7 linked regions of the Oryzias latipes genome follow. The protein of the gene in region 6 interacts with the protein of the main gene of each other region in a pairwise test. Links are inferred from orthologs where the notes say so. Each region holds a gene or a part of one and is shown on either strand. Other genes may lie near its edges.

Region 1 (4,229 bases), on a different chromosome or scaffold from region 6:
AACCATCTGATGGGTTCTGTTCAGGAGACGGACTGACGACAGCCAATCAGGAAGCAGAACACTAAACGATCAGCAGCACAAACGTCAGAAGTGAACCGCGACCACAAGAAGAACTCAAAAGGCCGAGTTCAACCAAAATGATCAACCGGAGCCAAAGGCTGAAAAACACCAACTAAAAAAAGAAAAAGAAAATTCTGCATCTTAAAAAGCAAAACCAGAACAAATAGCATCCAGTTGAAGAATTCATGTGCTAACAGCTAAAATGTTAGCATTGACGCTTTGTTCTATGGCAGCCCCTCCCACCAATCAGGAGTGAGCTTGTTGGAAGGCCACGCCCCTACCACTGGAAAGCTGTAAACGTTTTGAACACTGGACAAGGGGGTCAACAGGCTCCGCCTACTTTTATTGAGGCGTCTGATTGGCCAGTTAATGACTTGACTAACTTGAGATACAGGAAAAAAAAAGAGTTTTATCAAGTAGATGTTTAAAAACAAAAAGGTATCCGATCCAGAACGGTTCTTCTGACCAACAGAATGACAGCTGTTGATTTGCAGATACTTCCTGTTTGTAGCAAAGGGGAGGGGCCCCTCCGTCCAGTTCCGGTATACAGTCAGTGGTAACAAAAGAATCTGCAGAGAGGTTTTTCTGAAAATCTTAAATCCTTCAGATCAAACTTGTCTGGGGGGTTTTAAGCCGTGCTGCCAGAAGCTGACCTGCATCAGTCACTCAACCTCTCTGTCCCAGAATGCATCTCTCCTGAAGTGCATGAGTGAGCAGAGGGAAAACGAGTGGATTCGTGCCAGTAAAAGCAGCACATGTGATGCCCGTGTGAAGCTGAGGGAAGCATGTGACGGCTGGGTGATGAACGCCGTCACATGACTCTCCACCTCTCAGAGCCTCAGCAGCAGCGGCTCAACCTCCAGCTGCGGGAACCAGCCGGGTGTCGGCTCCAACGCCAAACAAATCCCCATTTTTAAGAGATCTGTGAGCTAAAAACCCGACGGGAATAATCGTCTTATTCCAAAAGACAACGCGAGCCGTTGTTCCACCAAACAGCAGATCCGAGGACCAAACCCGTTTTCTGAAAGCTAATCTCATCTTAATCCAAGAGGGCGATCCGTGCCGCTGAAATCCAGCCTCAGATTTCTCATTTTCACGCAGAACTCAACACAAAAGTCATGAACTAAAGCAATCAGAACGATTGTTTAAGCAATAATTGACCACAAATCTTGAAAAAAACCTAACAAACTAAATGCAGAGACGCCTGACACTCATGAGGGGATTTGTGAGGTTTAAATTAAACATCTTTAGCAGAAAACGTTGTGATATTTTCTTAGACTAAAATAGAAACACAGCTGTCAGGCTCCAAGCTTCCTTTTTCCAAGGTAAAACCTTTTTTTTCTGCTGTGGAATGAGATGCAGAGTCTTCCTACTATATTCACTAACCACAAAAACAATGTTTACAACAATCTGAATGTAAATAAAATTTGAAAAAAGACAACATTTGAGCAAAATCATAAAAACTTTATGATTTTATCAAACATCTGTTTGAGCGGAGCTTCATTTTTCCAAACTGTGGTTCTCCAGAAAAACCATAAACCAGTTTAAAAAGTGAATACAGGAAACAGGTGAGACAGAAGGGACAAAATGAAAACACGTAATGGCGAAGGGGCGTGGTCTAAGCAGTGCGTTCTTGGTCTTATTTTGTTGTTTGTCAACTGTTTTCATGGTGATTTTATTGAACAGAAGGGAAGCAGGTCACAAGATCAAGTATTAGTGCATAACATTTGTAAAACGTTTCTTAGACAGCGTGACAAGCTAACGTGTGCTTTAGAGACCATGATACTACCACCACCTGTCAGCTTAAAGACCACGCCCTCATTTCCATATAAAGTAATCCTCAACCTTTGAATAGGAGGGCTTTAAAACCAGGTACGGTAAAGAACACGGGCGCTAAAGCCACGGCGATTAAAGGGTTCATTTACAGAACCAACCGAATTCTACGACAGAGTCAGTCACAAAAGTCTGGAGGACATTTCACAGCAAGCCTCCTCCGACTGTAGGTTGAGGCTAGTAAACAGAAGAAGAAGAAGAAGAAGCCCCTCCCTGCAGGCGCAGTGTGAACACCTGGTCTGAACGGTGTGCATGTAGTTTCAGAAAAATAACCTCTCTGGGTTTAAGGAGTTCAGCTGTGTTTGTCCTGAAGCTCGGTTCTGAACAGGTTCGGCTCATCAGAACCTGAAGGTTGATCCAGCAGGACAGAATCCCGATGACCCGTCACGGAATGGACCCCTTCACACCTGGGGTGCTTTTGTATCACGTGACCACGAGAGCAGGTGTTTCATAAGAATTTCAACGCGCGCGAGCGTTAGCCCTCATCGCATCGGCGACGGTCCAGCTGCTCCGGAGTGAGGCGCGTGACGAGGCGGGAACTTACCCTCTTAAGTGGCACGGTGCTTCGGAACCAGTTGTAGTCTGGAGACACCTTGATCTCCTCCATCTGCGGACACAGAGACGGTGACTCAAGTGTGTGTGCGGGGGTGTCCGGGCTCAGCTGCTTCCGCGCGGGGGCAGCTGTTAGCCATAATAGCGGCTAGCTGCTAAACGAACCCCGCGGTAACCCCGTTAACGGCGTAGAAACCGACCGCCCCGCCAGCCCCACTCACCGTGGACGTCACCGTGTCAGAGCCCACGCCGCTGCTCGGTGAAGGGTCACCGTGTCCGGAGACGTTTGTCCATGTCGGGTAGCGCTTGGAGCGGCTGCAGCTCGGTCATGTGATTTTCCTTTCACACACTTCCGCAAGTAGCCTCTCCGGTGCTGCGTTCGCGGTCGCTCTGAAAATCCTGTTCTCCGGCAGTAAGAAAGCCGCTTTGGTTTCTTAAGTCTTGCTTAATTTCTGTTGTCGTTACAGTTTTCATCCTATACAATGTAGCACTCAAATGTATTCAATGTTTGTCTGAATATGGAATCAATAGAAATGTAAGAAGACATTACAGACTCGAGATTCTTTCCACACAAAACCCAACGAATCTCCGAATCCCCGTTTTTCTCAAACGCATCGGTCAAACCTCAAGGTAATTCTTCTCATAATTTTAACTTCAGTCATCAAAATATTTGGATGAAAAACTTTCTAAAACAAACTTAATTCTTGAATGAAATGCGTTTTTGTTCGTAAATTGTTCTGAAATTACAATTCATACAAGTAAAATGGAATAATTTACATCTTCAGTGTGGATCAGTCTTTCATTGAAATCCTGTCTGTTCTCATTTTTTTGTGGTTTAACCTGGACAGGAAACTGAAATGACAAGATGTGTAGATTGGTTCCGTTTCCCAGAGCGGTGTTGGTGTGTCGTTCAGACTTTGGCCCCCATCGGTTCTCCAGCTGTTTCTTTAAAAGCTTCATCTGAAATCGTTTAACCACCTCCAAGTGTGTCTGACGTGACGCAGAGAAGATCAGTTATGGAAGGTTTAAACTGCTTCCTCAGGTCGTCCCCACTGTGAAGGTCAGTTTATTGGAAATGTTTTCTTCCCATTTGGAACTTAAAGGCAGCTTTAAAGCTTGTGAAACATGAGCGTAACCCCAAAGTGAATTTATTTACCCTAAACTGTTTAGCTGTTTAACAAACGTTTGATAATGAAGATAAAAAGGAGGAAAACCACAAAAAGACAACAGTAGAAATGATTTTTTTACCAAACTTTATAAAGTTGAGGGAAGTCCTGGAGCCCCAAACAGACTTAAGGACACATTAAGGGAAGAAGCTGCATCAGATTCTCTTCCAGGCACATCAGCGTCTCAATGACAAACGTTTTGGCAGTGAAAGCTCCAGAAGACAGAAGAAGTGCTTTAAGACGTTGGAATCTCCCATCCGACACATGCAGAACGGTCCTGTGCAGCAGCGTTCTGCACTGCTGAAGGTCTGAAGGATGGACGCATTTGAACTCATTCACCAATGTCCAAAGGTCAAAACCTTAGTGAGGGGGCGGGGCCAGAGCCCAGACCCACTGTGGTTAGTCTAGAACACGTTTGAGTCTCCTGGAAAGTATCAAACGTACAGAATCACAGAGAGCAGAAAATCCCACTAACCAATCCCTGCTCAGAATATGAAAAGCCCCGCCCACATCACACAATTTAAAGTAAAAAAAAAAAGTACCAACAGATGTAGAAATACACAAGTCGTGTATTTCTACTTTTCCCTAAAGGTATAAATGCACATTTGGATGAACGTT
Region 2 (4,233 bases), on a different chromosome or scaffold from region 6:
CCCGACCGCCTGTTGATAAACTGACACTCCAGAATTATGTTTGCTGCATTCTCCGACTGCGTCTCAAATTGCTGCCATCGGTGGAGAACCAAAGGACACAATGTTCCTACAGCTCAAGGCCCGAGGTGTCCTGAGCTCCAGCAGGAGCAAAGCATCTCAACACGAGATGGAGCAGAGAGAGGTGTTGAGATCTTCTTCCATTCTGTCTCACAGCTCATTCATACAGTTTTAGTTATGAACTTTCTAGATTTATTTCTTCAGCATTGCTGCTAAAGGATGAGCTGCTATTGCAGTCATGAGGGAGGAAATCACAAACACATCACAGCCAGACGGACTTTGACTGATGGAAATAGATATTTATAATATTTTATTGCCTTTATGGTGTGTTTGTCTGGGTTTTTGTTTTCTCCTGTGGACATTATGTTTTTAATGTTAATTTTGAGTGTTGTTTTGAGTTAAGATCACATAAAAAAGCATAAAAGGGCACTGGTTTGTCTGGACTCTTACAAGATTTAATAAATGACTTCAAACTGTTCTATTGATTTCTGCTGCATTCAATCAGCAGGTCTGTAATATGTTCGCCCTAAAGCGGTTTTAGGAGAGTGAAATGAAAAGAAAAAAAAAACTTTAAAGCGCCACAGCCCTCAGCTGCGTGAGCTACAGGATTTCTGATCAGACCTGCACGGGCGTCTGTTGCATTCGGCATCTGTTTGGCACAAAATGGCCGTCTGCTGGAGATTAGAAACAGCCCGAGTTGCACTTTGGAAAGAGTTTGTTTTTGCCAGATTGAGCAGAAGGAAAAGCGGGAAGAAGCAGCAGAGTTAAAGAAAAAAAGCAGCGAGAAACTGAAGCGGTGACGCATGCGCAAATTAGGAAATTATTCTGAAAGATGTGAACACATTTTTTAGAATCACTTTTAAAATTAAAATTATTTATATACACAACCTATTTTTTAAATAAATCACTAATGTTTTGAATACGAGTGTGCTTCGAGATAATAACACCGGACTAGTTTTAAAAATATAGTGATAAAATAATAATTTTCTTTATTCAATTCCTAAAAAGTTATATCATCAATCAAGCAGGGTTGAAAAACAGAAAGCTGATTATTTATCAAGAAAGATTTTTTTAATTCAGAGCGTCTCCCATGTTTCCCAGACAGGACTCACGCGCACGCCTGCATCAGGCTGAGCTCGGATTTTTGTTTATCAACTGCTTGCAGTTTTTAGAAGCTCAGAAGGAGACTCGTGTTTAATGCTGCGAGGAAAACGCGCGCGCCCACAGGGACAAAAAAATCAAATGCCAAAATAAACTGCAGAAGAAAGCATGAGCGAGATAAAGAAGCAGCGTGCAGCACAACAGTTACATGGTTCGGGTGTCGATACAGAGACTCTGTGATCGCTTAGAGTCCCGCACTCAGGTTTGCGTGTCGAGGCAGCGCGGGGCCTGCAGGTTCACGCGGGAGGTTAATGAGTCAGGGGACCCGAGCTCCCTCGGAGAGCAGCCTCTGCTGCACCGTTCTCTCCTCCAAAAATGCCACTTCTGCGTTCGAACCCCACAGAGAATAAAGACAAACTGAAGACCGGTTCAGAACTCACGCATGCACCTTACTATGTCAGCTTTCCATCGGAACCCGCACGCGCAGCTCGGGTCTCCATGTTTCACCAGCTTTTGGTTGATAATTGTCCCGTTAAATATAAATATCGAACTCTCTGCTGGACTCTCGCCAAAGAAATCAGTCATCTGGAGACGCACATCCCACTCCGTCCTAAGTCAGTGCAACAGCAACATCCCATAATATGAAGGCATAAAATGGCCTTTTTCTGTAATGTACTTCTTCGCTTTCAGACACAGAAAAATCACCACAAACTCGCTTTAACGTGAGCTCGTGAGCGCGTGAGCCGCGGCTGCTGCGCTCAGCTCTCCTTTGTTCCTGTTTTATGGCTGCATTAAACGCGTTTACAATCTCCATCCGCGCGCTCGCGCTCCCACGCGTTTTTCCCACCTTGATAACTTACTTTGATCCGGGCCGTCTTTGTCCTCGCTGCCTTCACATCCCTCCTTACTCTCCTCGAACCCCCGGCCCGGGACGGCCGCCGGGTGGAGGCTCAGTTCGCGCGCCGCCGTGGACACGGGGTCCAGGATGTACGTGGTGGTCTCGTGCGGGTGCTGCACGCTCACTTTGAGCGGGATGTCCCCGCCTTGGTGTCCCAGCTGGGGCTCCAGCTTCACCTGCCCGGTTTGGCTCTGGCCCGAAACAGAGTCCGGGTCGCGAGGAGCGGCGTCCAGCCATGAGCGGAGATAGCGCGTGTCCGCCGCGGGAACATGCTGCGCCGGGAGGTACGGGTGGTAGACGGCGGGAAGAGCGCCGGCGCCGTGGTGCGGGCTGAACGGGCTCCACGACGGTGAGAAGACCGGGGGTTTGGGCTGGAAGCTGCAGGACGGGTACGAGTCAGAATGAGGATGCTCCGCATGTGCAGCGGCCACGGGCTGCCTGACGCCCGCGGCCACTGAAGAGTTTGGAGAGGAGTACTGGACGGCGGAGAAGCGGGCCGGACCGGAGAGTTCATCACTGTCGTGACTGATGATGGAGTCCACGTAATAGTTGCTGAGGGTCCCAGAAATGGACATTCTCGGACATTATCCGCGTGCAGCCGCGAGTTTGTTAAAGCAGAAGAAGAGGGACATTATGAGATTTACGTCACTCTTTTCTTCTTTTCTTCTGCTTTGCTGCCTTCCCCCCTCTCTGACTCTCGCTCTCTCACTCTCTCACTCTCTAACGCTCTCACCCCCCTCGTCACCCCCCTCCTCCCCAAAGACTCTGTGACCACAAACAAAATGTTCCAGTTTGCAGCCGCGCGGATTTGTCCATTTCACGCAAACTCATTCACGTTGCCTTTGAGTCTGACCCCACCCCCATCCCCTGCACCCACGTGTGTGTGAACCTGAATGTTGAGGAGGTTCTTGTTTACCTGAATAAAGCCCTAAGAAGTTCTTCAGACTACAGTCCACCTGCAACAAACGCGGGAAACGCTCATGGCCGCAGAGCGGTTCTGCTGCTTCTGATCTGCAGCTCCAACAGTCTATCTGCAGAGTGCGCGCGGTGACTCCTGAAGTGCTTGCTCATGTTTTACTTTTCTTTTTTGGGAAGTTTCTCAGCCGCTTACTTTAACAGGCGGATTAACAATCATCTTCTGTTAACGAGCGCCATTAACTTAACGCGGCTCCCGCGCGCCCTCAGCCCCTTTCTTCGACTTCATCCACTTTTTGGGGGTCCATTTAATACCACAATAAAATCCCACACAGGGGCGGCTGCTTGAGTTTTATAGGCCTTATATATGACTCATGGTGGTGCGGACGGAGCAGCGGCTGCCTCTCTTTCCGGCCGCTGGAGGAACGCAGGATCAGCGCTCTGCTCCTCCGCGCTGGATCCCGATCAAACTATAGGTTTACACTCTTAATGTGGACCCGAAAAGCATCATGTACCGGAGGCGCCCGGAGTCTGACGTCACCGCGGCTGTAAGTCTCTCTGTTTGTTTGTAATTATGACAGACATGCGCTTTTGGACTCTTTGGAGGCCATAAATCCGGTCTGCACGTTGCATATGCAGCTACAGTTATTTACGACGTGTAAATATGAACTAGATTGCTCATGGGGGCTAACGGTGTTATTTACGAGGATCAGGGAAAGATGAAGCGAAGCTTTCAGATCTGCTGGTAAAAAAAAAACTGGATTCAGGGATGAAAAAGAGAAAGAAAGGCATTCAGATGGCATTCAGTCAAGAGGCAGCAGCGAACCAAGATCCAAACTGACGGTTCTTTCAGGACCAGGACCATGGAGCCAAAGCACGAGACACTTTCTTTCAGAAAAAAAGAAAAAAAAACCCGCTTTCAAATCAAAAACAAACTCACAAATAGCAATCCAATGTCCTCAGTGCATTAAAAAAACAAATATTATATATTATATCATATATTATACCCTAGAATAGAATAGAATAGAATAGAATAGAATAGAATAGAATAGAATAGAATAGAATAGAATAGAATAGAATCGCGGGCGTGCATATTGTTCTTTGGGACTTGCCCGATGCCTCGGATGTTTCCCAGTCGCTCCTCAGACCGCAAAGCTCGGGGAATTTTAATTTTTCGGGGCCTCCGCCCTGCTGGGTTCGCTGCTAACCAGAGAGCGCGTTAATTAGGAACGTTTGGAAATGCTTTTGCAAACCACTTTTAT
Region 3 (4,201 bases), on a different chromosome or scaffold from region 6:
GACGATCTTCTAAACCTGCTTTTAATAATGTTACGGTTATTATGAAACACCTGTTCGCTCATCATTTTAATTTTAATCCGTGTGGTCAGTGCTTTTTCTGAACGAAACCAGGATTAGCAGTATGCTAACACGGGCTAACAACATTAGCTTTGGGTGGTGCTGCTTGCTGGCTGCACGTAAACATGTAAGAATAACATCAGACTTTATTTAGTCGGGACACGACTGGAAACACAAATCCGCGTGATTTTTTGAATGTTTTCTAAGGACTGAGCGACATTTCTGCTTTGAAGCTCAAACCGCTGTGTTTCTGCTGACGATCCGAGCTGTGCTCAGACACGCACTTAGACCCGGTTCTGAGTTCGGTTGCTTGTACCCCTAGAGCTGCGGGACGGATCGCAGTCTTAAATCTCCCACACATACCGCTCATGTACCCCCCCCCCCCCTTCCCATCAAACACAAAGCTGTAAGTCCGCACTCCCCCGGAAGTGCGGGAGCGGACTACTTCTTTTCTATTTTGTTTGTTACTTTTTTGTTAAAGTCACTTCCCTCAGTTTATACTGGATCATCGCGGATTAGTCATTAGTTGGGAAATAAAATGAAAAAAGCAAAAAAACGAATAGCAGTTATATAAGAACGAAAAATGTAAAAATACCCCCCCCCCCCCCCCCCCCCCCCGACGATGTCATCGTCCATCCCGATGGTTGACAGCAAACATCGTCAACGGCCAATTTAAGGGACATCGCCCAACCCTACTGCCCTCCCACTTGGCTGACCCACCTGAAGGAACTTGACCATGCTGAGTTTGGGGTTGGCCTCCTTCTTCTCCGTTGGAGCTTTGCTGAAGAGCTCTGCAGGGTCCACTTTGTCCCAGTTGTTGTATTTCCCTGCAGAAAGAGGAGGAAGAAATGAGGAGAACCGTCCCAGAGCGGACATTCCCATCCGCCAAGGACCACCGTCCCCAAAAGTGGAGATTCTGAGTGGACCCACCGATGAAGTCCAGGCTCATGACGTGTCCACACACCGAGGTCATCTTGAAGCGAACGCTTTGGCCCTGGAAGGTGCCGGTGTACTCGTGCACTGAGCACGCTCCGTTCAGGCCTTTACGGCTCGTACAGCTGCCTGGGGAGAGCGAAAGCGGAGGTGAGTGTCAGCGTCCGGACAGACGAGCCTGCAGTTCCTCTGCAGAACCACAGGGTTCTCTCAAGAACTAACTCTGGATCTCCTTTGTGGGTCTGAAAACAACCGTCAACAAGAAACTAAAGATTCCGATTTCTGCAGACAATATAGTTCTGGTCCACATTCAAAGGTCTGACAGTCACAACAAGAAAACAACACAACAATGAGACGACAACAAGACAAAAATGAGACAACAATGAGACTTTAACGAGACGAAAACAGGACAACAACGAGATGACAATGAGACAACAATAAGACAACAAGACAAAAACAAGACAAGATGACAATAAGACAAAAATGAAAAAAAAAACAAAGAGACAACAATGAGACTATAACAAGACTATAATGAGACAAAAACAACACAACGAAACGACAATAAGACAAAAATGAGACAACAATGAGACTATAGCAAGACAACAATGAGATGACAACAAGAGGACAACAAGATATTTACAAAATGACCTTGAGACAACAATAAGACGACGAGACAAAAACAAGACAACAGGATGACAGTGAGACGACTATGAGACATGACAAGAAAGTAATGAAATATGACAAAAAGGAAACAATAAGAAAATGAGACAACAGTTAGACAACAACGAGGCAATAATGAGACAATGATGAGACGACTATGAAACAACAATGAGAGGACAACAAAACGAAAACAAGAAAACAATGAGACAACATTAAGACAAGAAAGAGACAACAATGAGACATGACAACAAGAAAATGAGACATGACAAAGACAACAACGAGGCTAGATAACAAGACAACAATGAGACACGACAACAATGCCTCACAACAATGATGCACATAAAAACCAGACAGGAGACATAATGAGACCCAACAGGAGACAACGAGGGTCAAAGGTCTGAGCACAAACACTAAAGCTTGTAACTATAGTGAAGGAGAACTGATAGATTCACGTTTCAATGTTCAATCTGCCCAGACTCTTTTTAGACTGTAACGTAGAAAAACAGAACATTTGTGATCCTCTGCATCTCTATGTTTTTGTGTAGATGAGAGGAACTCATGAGGAATGGCGATGTCACAGAGAGCAGAGGTGGAGAAGGTGGAGGACTTGAAGATGTGTGGGATGGAGAGGAGGAGGACATGAGGGAGGAAGGTGAGAGTGAGGAAGATGAAGTGGAGATGCTTAGGTGAGGCAGATGACTTGCTGCCCTAAGAAAACTATCTTAAAGATGAAGAAAACTGTCTCGGGGATTTGAAACTAAGATTTTCCAGATTTGTTCGAACACCGTTTCCATGACAACTGTCTCCTCCTGAATGATAGCCACTGCCCTGTTGGATCCTCACAGTGTTCCTGTTACTGAAAGATTCTTTCATAAAAAATGAAACAAAACAAAACCAAAAAAAACCCCACAAAAATATACTTTTTCTAAACTAAAGATGACCCCCCCAACCCCCAACCCGCCTCCGAACCGGACCAACCTTTGGACAAGATTCTGGCGATGGACTGCGCCAGAGACGGCTTCTCCGCCACCATCAGGACGGTCCTCATGCTGCACGGCGCGGTCCGGTTCCGCTCTGCAGCAGAACTCTGAAGCCGCTCCACGGACAGGTTTGTTCTCTGTCCCGGTAAAAAACAAACTTTTCACTTCCGGGGTCATCTGGTGCTTTTGCGGCTCGCCCGCTGCGCCCCCGTGTGGAGAGGAGAGGAACAGCAGCGCGCTGGTGGAGCTGCGGTCAGCCGCTGATCGGCGGCGGGGATCGTTGTTGTGGCATTTTTCTCAACTAAGAAATACGAGATTAAAATGGCATTTCTCCGTATTTATTTTGTTTATTTTATTTTTCAAACAAGAACCAAAAAAACAACAACAATGCAAGATATTCCACAAACAATCAGGTCAGAAGTATGAAGAATGTTCAAAGTTCTATGTGGGAACATTTTGAAAACAGATCAAAAGATGAACGGAGTTTAAGATCTGTGACACTTTTCTTCAACTGCAACAGATTGCATTAAAGTAGGCATGTCCAAAGTCCGGCTGTGGGTCTGAGGATTCCCTTCCAAAAAATGAATAACATGTGGCTCCAGCACTTTCTAAAAACGGTGTATTACTTCTTGATTGTGATGGGAAAACTTGTGTTTTAAGCCGTTGTAAACCTGCAGTAGCACCGTCTCCTGACCCTTCTGTGACCCTTTCAAGCTCATTTCCAAAATGTCAAAAGTGTCAATAAAAAAGGGAAAGTCGGCCTCCATGTAAATGATCAGAGGAACAGTTTTACATCGTTTTGGTAAAAACACATTTAGATGTATTTGTGTTCCACTTGAGGAAATGAGAAGTGCGCCACAGCAATGTTCACTTGCATGTAAAGTTGATGAAACAGTCCAAAGAATGTTGGCTCCCACACATTTTTCTGACAACCTCTCAGTGTCTCAGTGTCCATAGCAGCTACATCTCAACTGGCATTTAAAAAAATGCTTTCAAATGTAATTTTATAGTGATTAGTTGAATCTATAAAGGTGAGGTCCTCCTCCTGCCATCACTCTTTCTTCTTTGGAAGATTTCCACCATCAGCCACATCGCCTCATAGACATTGGACACTTTATTGTTGAATTTGTAATCTGTATTTTGTGTTGTTTTCATTATTATCCTTTTTTTATGGTAACAAGTCAAGTTTTCCATTGTGGGATCGATTCAAGTTCTATTCTATTCTAAATAAAATGAGATACTTTACTGAAAAGGGATTAAAGAGGAAAAATATGATTTATCTCAGAGCATTTTTCTGTTTCTTTGAGAAGTAATTTTCTGTTTTTTAATTCAACTCGCTGTAAAAAAAATAAAAAAAATCTCAATTTACTTTAATGCGAGTTGACCCTAAAATGTTCACGATTTTCTTTTTACCCGGATGTTTTCATTTATCTAAATGAAAACAAAACCACCGAATGTTCAAGTCAAACAGATTCTTACTTTGAAACTTTAAAATATTCTTTTAATGACAAAAAAAAGGCGTAAAATGAATGTTAATCCCAAAGACAAACAGAGAAAACCCAAAGCTCCAC
Region 4 (3,964 bases), on a different chromosome or scaffold from region 6:
AAAGCGGTATTTTGCTCTGTTCAAGCATTTCTGAGTACTCCTCTAATACTCTGTGTTCGGAGCACCAGCCTCTCGAAACCCACAAAAACAATTGGTCTCTCTTGAGCTGACACAGACCAGTGAGAACAGTCCCTTCCAGGAAGAATCTATGCTGCCACCTCCGGCCCCAAGCTAACACACCCACCCACCCACTTTCTCAGCGGAGCTAGCGGTGATCAGCTTTTATATGATATTTATATGTGATTTCCTTTTATATGCACATTATGCACATCCATCTTTGCAAAAGTTTGGAGGTTGTTTTTTTTTAATAAACAATTGCTGACACCGGTGGATGACGTAATGAAATGGGCTGCACCCACGAGGAGCAAAAGCCGGTGCCTCAGCGATCGGGTCGTCTTACTTCCGGGTTGGGAAGTAAAGCTCAGGGAAATAACTCATATTTGATTAAAAAATCATTCCATTGTCTGTTCCCAGTAATATTTTACCATATACATGGATGTTATTTAATATAAAGGCTTAACTATAGCACTCGCACATGTCCTCTAAAATGACCATTTCTGTCCAGAAATGTTGCCAAATGTGTTTATAAACTAAAATGTCACAGTAGAAAAAATAGGAATATTACATGTTTACAAAGTTACTCTTAATCTTTTACCTTCAAGTCCTGATCCTGCGCAGAGTTGCATGAATTTTTGAAAGCAAGTGAAGGTACTGATGGTGCAGCATAACTGCCATTAGAGTGGGCCTTGAGGAAGTTTTGACACTGTGGTTTTACCGTAGGTGTAGAACTCTACATGAGGGGAACAGATCGCACTTTCATGTAGAAAAGCTCAAAAGCGTTACATTCATGACAAATAAGAGTAGTCCTTGCCTCTAGCTGGGCCAGCACCCTGGAAGACACATGTTGGTATTTTGGAGCAGTCCACAAAGCTTTCACTGGAACAGGACGGGCCTGGGCTTTCTCAGCCTCCTGCTCTTTGCAGCGTTTCTGAATCTCCTTCAGCCGGCGTACGTTTTCTTTACCAAAGTCATGCACTCTCTGTTCTGCAGGGTCAAGCAACAAAAGTTAGCCAAATAATAGTTTTATCTTTTATTATTAGCCAAATTTACTACCATCCAGTTAAAAGTAGTGCACAAATATTGTTTTAGTTACCTTTGAGATTCTTATATTTACAACAAATCTGATAAATCTTAAAACAAGTTTAAAAAAGCACTGGTTTTGACTTAAATAGATGGAAAAAGCACAGCTGCGTTCCAATACACAGCTGTTTAAATACAATGAAATATCAATGGATTATAAAGCAGCTTCACTTACTCGGTTTTGGAGCAGGACTGACTGAGACGTTGTCTAGTTTCATCAGTTCTCCCACGACGCCTTTCCGACCCCGTTCCAGAATATGGGCTGCGTTGGGGCCAATGCGTGGACGGTGGTGGACTGCTGTACGAGAGCTATAGCAGCCTGGGAACACAACAGGATCAGGAGCAAAGGGGCCCAAGAAAAGGCCCAGAGTTCCAGCATGGTTCCCCTCTAAACGACCACGAGCTGAAAGAATCAAGTCAACAAGATGATGCCATTTTAATCCAAAATGAAGAAAATATAAAATGCTCAATATACATTTAGGAAAATGTTTTTTAATTAAGAAAAAAAAAGTGGCATTAAAAAAAACAGTTAACAGACAAATGCACATTACACCTGTATTTTTCTATGCTTGGGTGCTTCTAACCTGAAGCTGGTCGTTGGTAGTATTGAGGAAACAGTGAAGGGTCTGGGGGAATTGGGCCAGATATTGATGAAGGTCCTTCACACATCTAAAACAGAAGAAACTTCAAAAATATTACAACAAAAATAAATCTTTGTAAATGTTTTGCACACAAAGCATCATGGAAACTATACAACTCTCAGTCATGATGTAAAACAGATATTTCAAGAAAAAAACTTCATTTACTAGCTTTTTTTCCAACCTCATATTGACAAAATTAAAAAATATAAAACTTTATTTCATGAAGAACATACAAATCCAAAGCAAAGTTAGCATTAAATAAAATTGTAGAAATAAAATCAAGAGAAATGAGGGCATAAACCCAGATAAACCGATAAACAATTCAAGAGTTTCTTAACTCTTATAGAGGCCCACACAGAATATGACAACTTTTAAGAGAGGAAAAATAGGTGTGTTTTTAAAAGATTGGCATTAAATTAATCTAAAATAACAATATTTTTATTCTAATTATCATATAAATTATAATACAACCGAACTGAATGTTAAAGTGTGTTAATGTTGGAATTGTCTTCTTTGTTGAAAGCCACCTATATATAACATTCAAGATTTGTCTTTACCAAATTGGAATCATTTTTATTTTCAATATCATCTTTCATATAGAGCATCGATTATCTTGTATATTAAAGCTAAAAGGTTTTCTTGCTTTTGTTTGTTGCGCCCTTATCCTCACATATATTTCTGTTAAGTGAACAGCTATTGTTTATTAGCTGGTTCTAAAATACGCTACTTAGCTCGAACAAGAACTAATACAAACAAGCATGCAAGGAGAAATATAAAACACGCTTATCGGTAACGTTAATCAAAAATAAACCGCTCACTAAAATCAGTATACACTGTTTACCTTTTAAATGTCTCGTTAAAGGATTAGGGTTTTCTTCGATGACGCTCTGGTATCAACCACTTGTGGGGCTGTATAAGTCGTCACTATGGCAACGGAGCATGCGCACAAAGGTCGAACATCGAGGAAGAGGGCTGATACCCATAAAACCTTACTGTAAATGACAAATTCCGAAATTATAATGAAGATTCGCCTGCATATTATTTACAGTATAAAGAAGTAGTATTATAGCATGGATTTTGATTGGCCTGTTTTTTTGCTGATAGCTTTGGCAGGTGTATTTCTGTCGTGACTTGGTAACATATATTCCTTTCCCTGAGTTTCGTCTGTAAGGCAACGAGAAAACTCGATTTTACTGCTATACAGCATTCCACATGACATGTCAGGTCACCGTACTACGTGGCTCCGTACCACATCACAACTGACTAAATGTTTTTTTTTTCAGTAATTCTATCTTAAAATAAAATGTTGGTCTTCAGACAGACAGATAGATAGATAGATTCATAAAACACGAATACATATATATATATATATATATATATATATATATATATTCATTAAATATGTTTTGCTCAATGTCAATTGTACAAGGGCCCCGCCCTCGGTGAGGGTTTTACGACGCATGCGCAGTGGTGCCGCCTGTGCTTTCTCCTTCACCGTGTCCAGCTGCACATAACAGCGCTGCTAAAGTGTGCACAGTCCGTTGCTTTAAAGACAAAGGTAGGTCCACGCTTTGTCTGGAAGATTCTTTTATTTCTAAATCATCTCGTCCGTCTGCGCGCAGGACTTTCTAGTTGACAACAGTTTTTTTAAGGGTCGAGGCTGAAATGAGCCACTCAGACATTAGGGTGGGAGAACCGCAGCAACACAAACCAGATCCAGGCCTGCGGTGGCTGAAGTAGAACGTGAAGTTTAAACCTGTTTAGTCGCTCATTAACTCTCATCATGAATATATGCATGCTCCAACAAAAAGGTGAAAAAAATCCCAACGTGTCTTACTGGTTGATCAAACATCTGAACTATGTGACACAGGGGACTGGAGGTCTTAACTTTAAAATGTGGGGTTGAACGCTGCAGGCTGTTACCACCATTTGAAACCAGAGGTGGAGAGAATGCTCACAAAAACACACTGTCACTTGTGGGACTAGGGGGCGTGATGCCATGAATATTTTGAAATTTTTTTTTTTGGTCTGGAGCTGTGAGCACCTCATCAACCTGACACAGCGACTGTCTGTCAGTGAAGCTCTTGTTTATTTCAGGTTATCATGCTTATGATTTTATGTAATGGCAAGACAAACTATGCGTAAACACATGCTTACATGGAGAAGGCATCTTGTTATTGTAC
Region 5 (3,500 bases), on a different chromosome or scaffold from region 6:
GTATTTACAGCAAGTAAGAAAGATTTTGGGTAAAAAACAAAAAAACGTCCTTTGGGAAGGTCATCCTTAGGGCAGAGCGACAAGGATATGAGGATGATCACAAAAATGTTGTACAAAAAACTTTGCTGCCTGAAATTTGGAGTGAAATTCTAAATTTGGTGTGCTTAATGATTAAAAAGTTTTTAAAGAAAAAGGGCACTTACAGTGAAATCTGTGACTAAACTGTGACATTAGTAAGAAAGAAGTTGTTTATTCTGCAAAAAACCTTTCTGGAAATCGAAAGAGGATTTTAATGTGATCAAAAGAGATTTTTGCAGAGCAGTGAATGGTGTTTAAGGCCTTAAAAAACAAAAACTGGTTGTCCTCAATAGTGGCACTGTGAGGGAAGGTTGAAAGCAGCAGAGGGGGGAAAAAAAAATTCAGTGTTTCAGGCCAAACGTAGGATGAGAGTCTACATGGATTCACCAAGGGAATCATCATCCTCCAGAGATAAGGGCAGGTAGAGATCCTGAAAACAGAGCAGAGGTATCCGTGATCTGAGCATCAGGACTGTGTTAAGAAATAACCATGTTTACAGAGAAATGGACCAGTACCTTCTGCTTGTTGTTCAGACCTGGACTAGTTGGGGTGGATGTGGGGGAGTTCTTGGAAATTGGGGTGGAGATCTGGCTGCTGGAGCCGGTCCCATTGGCTGAAAGTGACAATACAGGAGAGGACAGATGAAGGAGTAAAAGATGAAGTCAGCTTTGTATCTTAAACAATGCATAAGATGATTCAACCCTTTAGAAGAGTCGGTCCTTTATTGTGGCCTCACTTGGCAACAAATAAAGCCAGACTGGAGCTCCAGCTCTACTGAACCGATGAGTTCTGTTTGTCAGTGCACACTGTATTCACAGACTTAGTGTTGCGTCTCGTTGCTAGGATTCTCTCAGTGTGGGACATTGTGCTTGTATTTTGGAGCAGTGTGAGGTGATTTAGCCGTGTGAGTTAAACACTTTAAAAGGCTTTTTGTTCATGAAAGATGAAAGGAGGCCTGGAGACTCGCAACCAGATGGCGAGTCTCCGTTTATGCCAAAAGGCACCGAATACAACAAGAGGAAAACGCCTCACTGTCACTGAAAAGTCACACAAGGATAGGAAAAATGCTAAAACTGCTTGATTTTTAGAAACTAGGTTGGTTTAAAATAAGCAGCTTTCAAGACAAAACATGCAGGAGTTTTGATCAGTCATCACATTCTGAGCCTTGAAAGACAAAAAAAAAGGTTTTCCTCATCGCACATGAAAGTTCCTGACTCTTCAGCCTTTTCTGACATCTCTTCTCCCTACTGCATGTGAGCAAAATGGGCAAACAAAACACATGCAACTGTTATGCTTCAGAGAGAAACATAGATGTAGAATGGATCATTTTGTGATTCTGTAAATATTGTATGCATCAGTAAAAGAATCAGTAAAAAAAATAAAAATAAAAAACGAATTTAATTTTTCTTTTTGCAAGAAATTATATTAAAAAAAACATTGGATAAGTGGTAATATCAGAAACAGTCAGGAAATTGTTTTTGAATTATTGAAAACTTGTCAAAATTACCAGGCAAGTGAGACGTTTCCTGTGCCGTGACCCCATTATCAAGATTTGTGAACCCTCAGCTTCCAGATTCATAGATAAAGCTGACATCTTGAATGCCCATAAGCTGTGTTTACTGTCAATCATCCCTCATCAAACCTCCAATAATAGAATTCCACAGTCCTTAAGTAGACATCCATCTAGTTTCTTTACGCTTATTTGTTCTTAAAGCAAATTACAAAGCTACCACCAGATACGAGTAGAATCTGTTAAAAGATGCAAAAGCTCTTTAAAGCTAGCAGCAGAATCTCAATGATCTGCTGCCTTCTGGATATTGTCATGTTCAACTCCCCTGCCTCTCTGACAAATGGCTCAGAGGAGCTTTTGTTTACTTATGTTTTATTCATAGAGCTTTGTAAAAAGGCACATCATACTGCGTTACAACTCAGATTAAAGAACCACAAAAAAGCAGAATTTTAAATGACTTAATTCTTAGTAAAAGAATTTGTTTTAGGAATAAAAAATGTTGAATTTTAGACAGTCAAATTTCTTTTTGGAGAGATTTTATCAAAGGTTTTCAAACCAAAAAAAATTGCAGGAAAACATTGTGTCATCTGACACAAAAAATTTGTCCTTACTAGACATTAAAGAACCACTCCAATCATCTTTTGTAAAATCGTTTCAAGTGTTCATTTGACTATGGTGTTTTTAGCCCAAGGTCAAGTGTTCTATGTGGTTTATTAGGATATAGTTTCTGCATAGTAGCAGTAGTTTATTAAAAAAAAAAAAAAAACACCTATGAGTTGTGGGTGGACAACTGGCACAGCAACAAAAATGGCGAGCAATATTGGAGCCACATGGAGGTACATGACGTCTACAAGTGGATCCATCACAATAAAGCGGAGCAGGGAGCTTGTGGCCTGCCATTTGTAATTTCTTTGTCACAACTACACGCTTCTTCAGACGGCATTTTTTAATCTGCTCGAGATGCACCACGATTTAATAAAGAAATACTCAGATATGCAAATTTGACCTTTATTTTCTTTATACATGTCCATCAAAAAAAAGCCACAAAAACATGTTAAGAATTTTCAATGGAGCGGATCTTTAACCAAGTCAGTCATCTATTTTCATTCATTATTGAATAGGAATAATCCCCCAATCCTCACCATCCCCCTTAGACAAAGGTCAAAGGTGAGCTCCATCCCTCTACTTTCATATCTAATGTTCTGTTCACTATGTATTGTGCCCCATTGTTATCGGCATCCTTTTATTTTTTTTCCTTTTATTTTTATTTTTAAAAAGCAGTCTTAATGTCAGTATTCACTGTGCTCAAGATAATAGACTCACTGGATTCAGTGGGTGACTTGCTGCGTTTGATGAGACCCGGACTCTTCACTGAACCACGTGGGGTTTTGGGTCCTTTCATCACCCGGCATTCTGTCAAAACAAAGTCAAAAAAAGATCTTTATTTTCAAACTGGAAAAACAAGCTGCAAACACTTCTGTTTCTGATTAGAAATGCATCCATCAGTCAGATGGTGAAGCAAAGCTTCATATGCAATTCTATTTTGTACTATAATCCCATTATATTCTGGAGCAGTGTTTTTCATATTAGTAGACATACTCCAGACACTGCTGCACCTCTCCAAAAGCTTCCTCTGCGTTTGTACTGTCAGGCAGTTTCCCTCCCCCTCCCTCCTCTTCCTCTTTTGATGCTAATTATACTGTCTGTCCTCCTTCCATCTCCTGGGATCTCACCACATTCATCTTCTTCCTCTTAACCTTCACAGACACCACCACATACAACTGCATTTCTTTGCCATTGTTTGGGAGGTGTGCCACCATCACTCCTGCAGACTGGCAGCCTCTCTGATCAACTCCGCAGGCTCAAAATAGTCCAGACTCTCAGGTTCTCTAGTCTGTAGCAGAAACCATGA
Region 6 (4,034 bases):
TGAAACTTTCAGTTACTTGATGAAAAAATTGATCCAGGTTCTTATGTGTGAGTTTTAAAAACACAAATTATAATTAAAAAAAAGGACTAAAAGTCAAATAACATTTCTATTTCTATGCTGATGACACTCTTGTGTATCAACAACAGACTGAGCTCTCTTTCAGCTAAACACAGCTTTTATTATTACCCAGAACATTTTACATTATTTAAAGCTTGAAACATTAAAAATTAATAGCAAAATGATAGCCACTGAAGATCATATTGGGCATTTAAGGTGATAAGAGTTAGTTTAGCAACTATACAAGTTAATTTTTTCTTTCTTTTTAATCTTAAAAAATAAATAATACATATACCCTATTTTTGGAGTATAAATCGCATTTTTTTTGCATGTATTTGGGCGGGGGTGCAAAGTATACTCAGTTGTGACTTATATGTGTTTTTAAAAAAAAGAAAAAATGCACAACAGCTAGAAGGCACTGTAGGTGTGTGTATCAGTATTTGCTACTGACAACATCAGAGAGGAAGAAGAGTCATTCAGTCTTACGCCGGGCTAAGCAGAATTGTTCCAAAGTGAAACAGAGGATGAAGAATTGAACGGATTTAGTCATTTGAAGTAATATAAAGAGTTTAAATGACTTGTTAGCATGTTCTTTATGATATGGTTATCTGAATAATTGTTCATATGTTGGGCTATTCTAAACTACTCCTATGTTTCATGAAGCTAAATAGGAATCAATGTATTATGGTAGTGAAGTGTACAGATATTTTGACTATTACTGTTATCCATTCCATTATAAAAATTGAAAAGAAGTCATCAAAGTTATAGCTTTATTGTCATTGTACAAGTACAGTGAAATTTTGCTGCAAATAGGATTTGCCTTTCAAGATTAAGATCCCTTTTCTGTATTTTGTTTAATTAAATTCTCTCAAAAGTGTGACTTATATATGATCGTTTCTTTTTTTCTAGGCACTTTTTGGCTGCTGTGGCATGTACCCTGGAGCGTCTTATAGTCAGAAAAAAAACAGTACTTTTTGAAGACTTGTTTTTTCCTTAAGAATTAAATTTTTTCTTTTTTTCTTTTTTGGTTCTGTGTGAGCAATGCCAGCTAAGACACACAGTCTAACATGTACCTCTCAGTTCTATTCATGGAATCCTCTGCAGCTGCAAAATTCTAGTTGCGTGTCAACTGACAGACACCCCTGTCCCTGTCACAAAAAAGTGACTACTGTTGTCATCATTAAAACATCATAATAATTACCATCTAAGAGCGTAAAGGGGGAAGGAAAAAAAAGCAGATAAATTGGAAAGAGCAGGCCTGTAGAACCATGATGAATGAGGGTGTCAGCTATACTCTCACGACTAGCTCGACTGCATTTGGGTGTCGAGCCCCCATCCACTGAGACCTGCCTCATTAGCCACTTTGATCGTGCATTAACCACAGAGCAAGAAAAGAGTGCAGGGGACCATAAATCACTTTAAAAGACTGTGAAACACCACTTCATCAAATGTGCCGCTGAATTCCCCAGCAACAGACACAGCACTTGGTTTTATTGTGTCACTAATGTATTGGTTTCTATTGAATCAATGGGTAGCCTTGGTGAAAAAAGGGACAAGCAGCACTTCGTGACAGTTGACCCCTCTTTCCCTGCCCTGCATTGTTTTGACTCATTCATTATTGATCAGTTGCTGCCCATTGACATTTTACACTCTGCCGCTGTGCCACTTTCTCCCTAATGTCACTAGGAATGAGAAAACAAAACAAAAAACGTACTTTACTACATTTTTCACAGTTTAAGTCACAGCAGCCAAAAAATGCCTAATAAAGAGGAAAAGGTTGATATAAGTAGCACCCTTTGCCAAACCATAACAAAAATTGTGTCAATAACAAAAAATGTGACTCTAAAAATTATGGTAATTAATTTCAGTTTTTAACTGAGTTGTAATCTATTGTGAAATGTATTCATGTCACACTCCAGGAGCTATTCCCAGCTTTTTTGAGTGTTCTTCAAACAAAGCGTCTCACTGACATCAGGCTCCCGGATCAGGTGTCAGTTATGGTGGCTGCCTTGGTTCCTGAAATGCTATGCAATACCACAGAGGATACGTGTGGTGTGCATGAAATGTGCATAAAAGAAACTCAAAATAATGCCCACAAAATCTTGTAGAAACAGTTTCCTGACTCTCCAAAAAAAAAATGCTTGTGGTGTAAAAGTGGCACACCTCATTTAAAACAGAATGAGATGGTCAGTCATGCTCTGCTTGTTTTTCATTCTGCCCCCCCCCCCCCTCCTCCATGGATGTGGGTCATTAGAACAGAACGCGCCCTTCGCGCATTGACGGATGCTTCAGTCAGCGCTTATCCTTCAGCGCACGTTGTCCTGAGGCTACTCCACCAAAAATAAACACAACAAAGACGCGCAGCTTACCTCCGCCCCCCGTGACAGCTCTGGATGGACCCTCGTGGAAGAACAGTTGGAGAAGATCACAGATCCTGGACGGAAAGTTTGGACAAAGGTGCGACTGAGCATCAGAGTGGGTGAGAGACGAGAGTCAACGCCCCAAAACACATCTGGATGACGAGCCGCCGGAGGAGCGAGAGCGCGTCTTCCTCTTCTGGGTGCTGCTTTCCAACTCAGTTGCGCGCAACGTTGCGCGCTCTCCCTGCCGCCTGACGTGGTCCCCACACCAAACAATCCCCGAGGAGTCACGTGGGCAACCCACAGGGATACGGGAATAGCTCTCGATCCCTCACGGCAGCATCTGGGATCGGTTACTCCACTGCTCCACTGTGAAAACCCCGAGCTGTGCGCACAACGTCTCTTTTGCTCCACCCGCGCTCTCCTCCCGCGTGGCCTCACGGCGTCGCTGTCATTTCTGTTCACTTTCAACAGTGCAGTCTTTATAGATTTCCAAAGAACTATAGATACTAAAAATATGTCCTTTTATTTTTAACCCATTTATTTATTTTATTCAAATTGTGGATTAAAAAAAAAAACACATGGTCGTTATTAAAAATGAATTACAATCTTGCCATGACACAGACAATGCCCACTTAGTAAAAATAACTCCCAACTGGAGACCAATTATACTACAAGAGCAATTTCACAAAATATTTTATTTTCCAATACTTTTTTAAAAAGGTAAAAATTTACCTTTTGCTTATGCAATAATTTAAAAAAAAAGAAAGAAACATCAAATTTTCCCTCCAGATTTATTGTCAGAGACCGCAAAATATCTGAGCAGAAATGTATGTTAAACTGACCTACTGCATGTATTTGGGACAGACTATCTTTGCAACATGCTGGAGGCCACAGGATTAGCAGGGGAGACTTGCCAACCTTGCAACTTTATCCCCACAAGCAAGCCAAAATACAGTTTTCTTTGTCTCACAGGCCTTCTCTGTAAAACAGTTATACTGCATTTCAGAACTGCAATTAGCCTGAAGGGCTGCAAACAGCACAAGCCTGTATTGTCCATTGTTTTATATTTTTTTCCGTAACCTGCAAACTTTTTATGTAAACATATAAACACACAAAATGAAGCTATAAAATACTCCAGGGCAGAGCATTTGGAGCCTGTCAGTATGACTTGCTCAACATTAGAAGCTTTACAGGGACTCCTCAGCTTTTGTGACACAAAACATGCATTGAGTTTTTCAATCCCTTATTTAAGGTTGAATAAAAGTGTGCAAATTGTGCAAAACCACAAACTCACAAATAAATATTTTGTAATACTGCATCTATTTATGTGGAGCTGCTCTTATAGAGCAGTAAACCATCCTGCAGTGTGACTAACATCAAAGCTGTGTCAGAATATGAAAAACATCCTCATGAAATATTTCTCTAGACCACAAGAGCTTTGGGTGGACAATTTGTTTTTTTAAAATCCCATCCAAATTCTTCTTCTTTTCCTTCCCTTCAGGGGTCGCCACAGCGAATAAGCTTCCTCCATCTAACCCTGTCTGCATCCTCTAACACCGGCTACCTTCCATCTAGACACATTAATGCTTTGTTTTATAGTCTAACACACAGGTT
Region 7 (3,964 bases), about 16 Mb from region 6:
GTTATCAGTGTGTAGAGGTGAAAACATGAACAATCACGTCCCGTAAACATTAACATATATGATTTTAGTGTGTTGACAGATACCTTAACTCTTTCTTAACCACTGCTTAGAATAGAAAAGAATAGAATAGAAGAGAATGGAAACCCTTTGTCATCATTATACACATTATGACATTTAAAAGTGGATTCATAAAACAGAATCAGGTGGATCTGAGTTTAATACGGAGACAACTTTAGGGAACAAACAGTTTGAAGTTGTTAGACGAAACTAAAACCAATTCTCCAAGCCATTTAAAAATGTTTTTAAGAAAAAGTTTCTTTAGTAAAGAAAAACATCTGTTTTTAATGCAGTGAATGTATATTTTTTGTAAAATAGTAAGACTATATTCTGAGTGACACAGTGAGTTTCTGTCCACCAACAGAACTGTTTTGGGTCTGAAACAGCAGAAATACTTCAGTTCATGTTTCTTCTCTACTTTGTTACCTTTTAGGAAACACGAGGCGTTCAGAAGCTGAGGGTTTGTAACACTCAGAATCTAAAAATAATAAAAATGCATGAAGAGATATCTGAATAGATTAGTCAGAATGAAAGGGTGGAACAGAACATCAGGCGTCTCAGGACTTTATGTGATTGTTCTGAAAAAAGAAGCTTCTGTTTTTCTCTATGAATATCTCCTTTTTAATGCAGCTTTTACTCTCATTTAATGTAGAAACAACATAATTGGACCTTTTAAAATGGAATTTATAATAAAAGAATCATTTTGCTGAGAACCAATTAAAGCGTTTGGAGTTTAAAAGTGTCACATAAATAAAATGTTCTTACAGAAACCATGTTGGTTATTAGATGTTTGCAGCTGAACCTGCAGAACCGATCCGTTCGTGTTTCCGTTCTACCGGGAACTTGAACGGGTTCTGGACGGTGGAAGAACGTTCTGTGCTCGGAACCCTCAAAGTTGGGCTGACGGTGGGCGGGTTCTGGGGTTCTGCTCCTCATGGCTCATTTCCATGTCCGCCTCGCGATTGGCTGCCGGGTTGGAGGAGCGCGCAGCTGATTGGTCGGCTTGGGTGCCCTGCAGGGACAGCCTCGCTTCTGATTGGCCGCTGCCTTGAACCGTTCTTATCATCGAACACCTTCTTTAAAGTGTTTGTTTGTCCTCAGAAAGGATAAAAGGCGCAGGCGCGGCCGTGTGCACAAATACTTACACCGGGCGGCGCGTGCGTGAAGCCGCTCGGAGTGAAAGATGCAGAGCTCGAACTTCCGTCTGGATGATTTCCTCGCGGGATGGATCGGCGGTGAGTGACAGACAGACAGACAGAGACCTGATGCTCCTTTCTATTTCTGTTTTTCATTAAAGTTCACAAAGTCAAACTTTTATTGTGGGAGAGCGGGGGGGGGGGTTGTTTGGACCCCCCCCCCCCGTTTTTGTTTACGCGGATTTTCCGCTCCCCCCCATCTCCGTGCCACACTGACCAGTGGCCTCATATTGGATCATATTGGACCGAATCTGGTTCTGAGGTCCCACATCTGGCTTAGACCTGGGGTGGGGGGGTGTGGGCGGCAGAAACTTTCTTGGGGCTGCAGGGACGCGCGCGGCCCCCGGGGGGAGGGGGGGCAGCCCTGCCCTGTGATTGTGTAATCTAAAGTCGACCTACATTCGCTTTTAGTGCCATAAAATGATTTTCCTGGAACAGGAACTGGATCAAAAGTGGGATCCCTTTGATGGATCTGTGGATCCTCCAGGACTAGATCTTCCAGCTGGCCTGAAGGAAAGTCCGAGGTTTGGGTTGGAGCCTCACGAGCTTCCATCCACCGATGAAAAATCCCTTAGATGGGGGTCCGGAGGCTGCAGGAACCAGGACCCTCACGCTCAGACAGATGTTGAGGTCCTCCCAGCTGCAGATGAAACGATCAATAAAACGGCTGCCGCCTCCTGAAGACCACGGCGGCGTCCCAACTCCTCCCCTACCCACTACATAGTGTACTACAGATGGGGCGTTTGCCATTTTGTAGTGATCGATGCTCACTAGATTAGCGAATGCTTTTAAATCCAGGGCTCTACAGTCCTGCACCATCTAGTTTTTCGGGTGGGAATTCGGACACACCCCTGACGTTTCTCCAGCCTCCCGGCCCGCGCTGCAGGTCCACAGGTCAACCTCCGTCATGGCGTTCACTCCTCTGTGTTTCTTCTGCAGGAGCCTCCAGCGTGGTGGTGGGACATCCGCTGGACACAGTCAAGGTACGGCATCTCCGGACCCGCTCTGTCATCGCCGCACCAACGCTTTTAGGACTTCTGACGCTTTTGAAAGCCCTCAGACTCTAAAGCGGAACATTCCACGAGACCTTCAGGAGTCAGAGGATCGATGGGCTTAACGGGTTTTTCCTGGTCCAGCTTCAGCAGAGCCCATGTTTTGTGTTTCAGACCCGACTGCAGGCGGGAAAAGGCTACGGGAGCACTCTGCACTGCATCCTCTCCATCTACAGGAAGGAAACGGTAACCGGCCCGGCTCCACCTCTGTGGCACCTTCAGCCCGGCTGCTGGTTCTGGTTCTGGTTCTTCTGTGGGTTAAGGACGGAGATGACGCTTTTCTCCCGTGAACCTCCAGGTGGCGGGCTTTTTCAAAGGCATGTCGTTCCCGCTGGCCAGCATCACCGTCTACAACTCCGTTGTGTTCGGGTTCTTCAGCAACGCGCAGAGGTTCATCAGCACCTATCGCTACGGCGACGGGCGCCACCCCTGCAGCCTGCTGGACCTGACGGCGGCCAGCATGCTGACGGGGATGGTGTCGGTGGGTCTGGGGGCGCCGGTGGACCTGGTCAAGATCAGGCTGCAGATGCAGACGCAGACGGTTCTGGCAGGTGAGCAGAGGGCAGGCAGAACCGCTGAACGTCACATACTTTTTTAATTATTACATCATCGTGTTGCTTTACATCAAGCACCCCCTAGGGGTCACTTAAAGAACTGCTCTGGCTCCATTTACTGTTTTCTTTTTTAAAGACGTTTCAACCCGGAAGTGAAAGAGTTGGCTGTGTCGGGACAGAACCTCCTAAACAGTGAGGCCCCTTCATCGCTTTCAGGCCCGGCAGAACTTCTCAGGGATGTGAAAGGATCCGAGTTAAATCCAGAGTCAATCCTGGTTCTGATCTGTTTGCAGATAGAAACGTCTGCAAAAACCCAAACGGATTTCTGCCTTAAATATCTTTTTACACTTAATAGAAAACAAAAGGAACCAGTGATTTCTCAGTGAGATGCAGCAACTTGTTTAAGACAATAAATCTGGATTATTTTAAATCCTTTGATCTTGAAAACAAATTAGTTTAAGTAAAAATATAAAATAAAAGTATTACTTTAAGTAATGTTTTTAGACAAAGTAATGGTGAATGATGAGTGGTAAAAAAACAGATGTATTTACTGTTTCATTTGAATTATAACACAGAACTTATATTAACAAACATTTACATATTTTTTTAATAAATGTATCTTAAAATGAATCATTCTAGTTTTTAATAAGAATGTTTAGAAATAAGAATAGTTGGGCTGTTGAAGCTCCTAAAACAGGATCTATTGGAGGAAAATGGATCTACTCTAAAGATTTAAAACATTTTATCGATACTTTATTTTAAACTAATGTTTTCAGTTTTCACAGCATTAAACCTCAATGTGAGATTTCTTTTGTCCTAAAAGAGCAGAGAAAGGCCTAAATAAATGTCCAAGCTTTAATCCTTTTTGTAAAATGATCCAAACTTTCTGGTTTCAGAGGATGGGATTTGTGCTTCAGTGGTTTCGTTTGCGTCGCGCCTTTCTGTTAAACTTTAAATTCTCATAAATCGGAGGTCTCATAAGTTTAGGCGCTGAGTCGGCACATCGCTCTGTTTCTCCTGACGCCGTTCCTGAGCGACGGCGGAAACAGCCGTGATTGTTTTACGACGGAGCAAAGTGTCTCCGCTCGAAGCGTCTGGATGAGCC

What was found.
Region 1: the proteins of mid2 (region 6) and spg21 interact in binary tests that used the Homo sapiens proteins (3 or more experiments, as listed by UniProt). The two-hybrid records come from large-scale screens. The link is inferred for Oryzias latipes from reciprocal best matches to the Homo sapiens genes MID2 and SPG21.
Region 2: the proteins of mid2 (region 6) and hoxb9 interact in binary tests that used the Homo sapiens proteins (3 or more experiments, as listed by UniProt). The two-hybrid records come from large-scale screens. The link is inferred for Oryzias latipes from reciprocal best matches to the Homo sapiens genes MID2 and HOXB9.
Region 3: the proteins of mid2 (region 6) and top3b interact in binary tests that used the Homo sapiens proteins (3 or more experiments, as listed by UniProt). The two-hybrid records come from large-scale screens. The link is inferred for Oryzias latipes from reciprocal best matches to the Homo sapiens genes MID2 and TOP3B.
Region 4: the proteins of mid2 (region 6) and enkd1 interact in binary tests that used the Homo sapiens proteins (3 or more experiments, as listed by UniProt). The link is inferred for Oryzias latipes from reciprocal best matches to the Homo sapiens genes MID2 and ENKD1.
Region 5: the proteins of mid2 (region 6) and dcx interact in binary tests that used the Homo sapiens proteins (3 or more experiments, as listed by UniProt). The two-hybrid records come from large-scale screens. The link is inferred for Oryzias latipes from reciprocal best matches to the Homo sapiens genes MID2 and DCX.
Region 7: the proteins of mid2 (region 6) and slc25a48 interact in binary tests that used the Homo sapiens proteins (3 or more experiments, as listed by UniProt). The two-hybrid records come from large-scale screens. The link is inferred for Oryzias latipes from reciprocal best matches to the Homo sapiens genes MID2 and SLC25A48.

What each region holds. Positions count from the first base shown.
Region 1 is NC_019861.2:37,280,528-37,284,756, forward strand, and holds the start of spg21 (maspardin), read right to left. Parts: upstream 2,801-4,229; 5' UTR 2,667-2,800; intron 2,501-2,666; coding exon 2,438-2,500; intron 1-2,437. UniProt on the Homo sapiens protein: May play a role as a negative regulatory factor in CD4-dependent T-cell activation.
Region 2 is NC_019866.2:24,161,626-24,165,858, reverse strand, and holds the start of hoxb9 (homeobox protein Hox-B9), read right to left. Parts: upstream 2,801-4,233; 5' UTR 2,632-2,800; coding exon 2,019-2,631; intron 1-2,018. UniProt on the Homo sapiens protein: Sequence-specific transcription factor which is part of a developmental regulatory system that provides cells with specific positional identities on the anterior-posterior axis.
Region 3 is NC_019867.2:30,362,273-30,366,473, reverse strand, and holds the start of top3b (DNA topoisomerase 3-beta-1), read right to left. Parts: upstream 2,801-4,201; 5' UTR 2,699-2,800; coding exon 2,629-2,698; intron 1,120-2,628; coding exon 988-1,119; intron 885-987; coding exon 778-884; intron 1-777. UniProt on the Homo sapiens protein: Releases the supercoiling and torsional tension of DNA introduced during the DNA replication and transcription by transiently cleaving and rejoining one strand of the DNA duplex.
Region 4 is NC_019867.2:6,232,711-6,236,674, reverse strand, and holds the start of enkd1 (enkurin domain-containing protein 1), read right to left. Parts: upstream 2,801-3,964; 5' UTR 2,623-2,800; intron 1,825-2,622; exon of another isoform or gene 1,810-1,824; coding exon 1,725-1,809; intron 1,544-1,724; coding exon 1,316-1,543; intron 1,045-1,315; coding exon 872-1,044; intron 791-871; coding exon 656-790; intron 1-655. UniProt on the Homo sapiens protein: Microtubule-binding protein which regulates microtubule organization and stability. Promotes the stability of astral microtubules and facilitates the proper orientation of the mitotic spindle.
Region 5 is NC_019872.2:14,739,830-14,743,329, forward strand, and holds part of dcx (neuronal migration protein doublecortin), read right to left. Parts: intron 3,002-3,500; coding exon 2,912-3,001; intron 692-2,911; coding exon 594-691; intron 509-593; coding exon 452-508; 3' UTR 1-451. UniProt on the Homo sapiens protein: Microtubule-associated protein required for initial steps of neuronal dispersion and cortex lamination during cerebral cortex development. May act by competing with the putative neuronal protein kinase DCLK1 in binding to a target protein.
Region 6 is NC_019868.2:12,830,012-12,834,045, forward strand, and holds the start of mid2 (probable E3 ubiquitin-protein ligase MID2), read right to left. Parts: upstream 2,801-4,034; 5' UTR 2,427-2,800; intron 1-2,426. UniProt on the Homo sapiens protein: E3 ubiquitin ligase that plays a role in microtubule stabilization. Mediates the 'Lys-48'-linked polyubiquitination of LRRK2 to drive its localization to microtubules and its proteasomal degradation in neurons.
Region 7 is NC_019868.2:29,276,432-29,280,395, forward strand, and holds the start of slc25a48 (solute carrier family 25 member 48), read left to right. Parts: upstream 1-1,164; 5' UTR 1,165-1,240; coding exon 1,241-1,292; intron 1,293-2,192; coding exon 2,193-2,236; intron 2,237-2,419; coding exon 2,420-2,491; intron 2,492-2,603; coding exon 2,604-2,856; intron 2,857-3,964.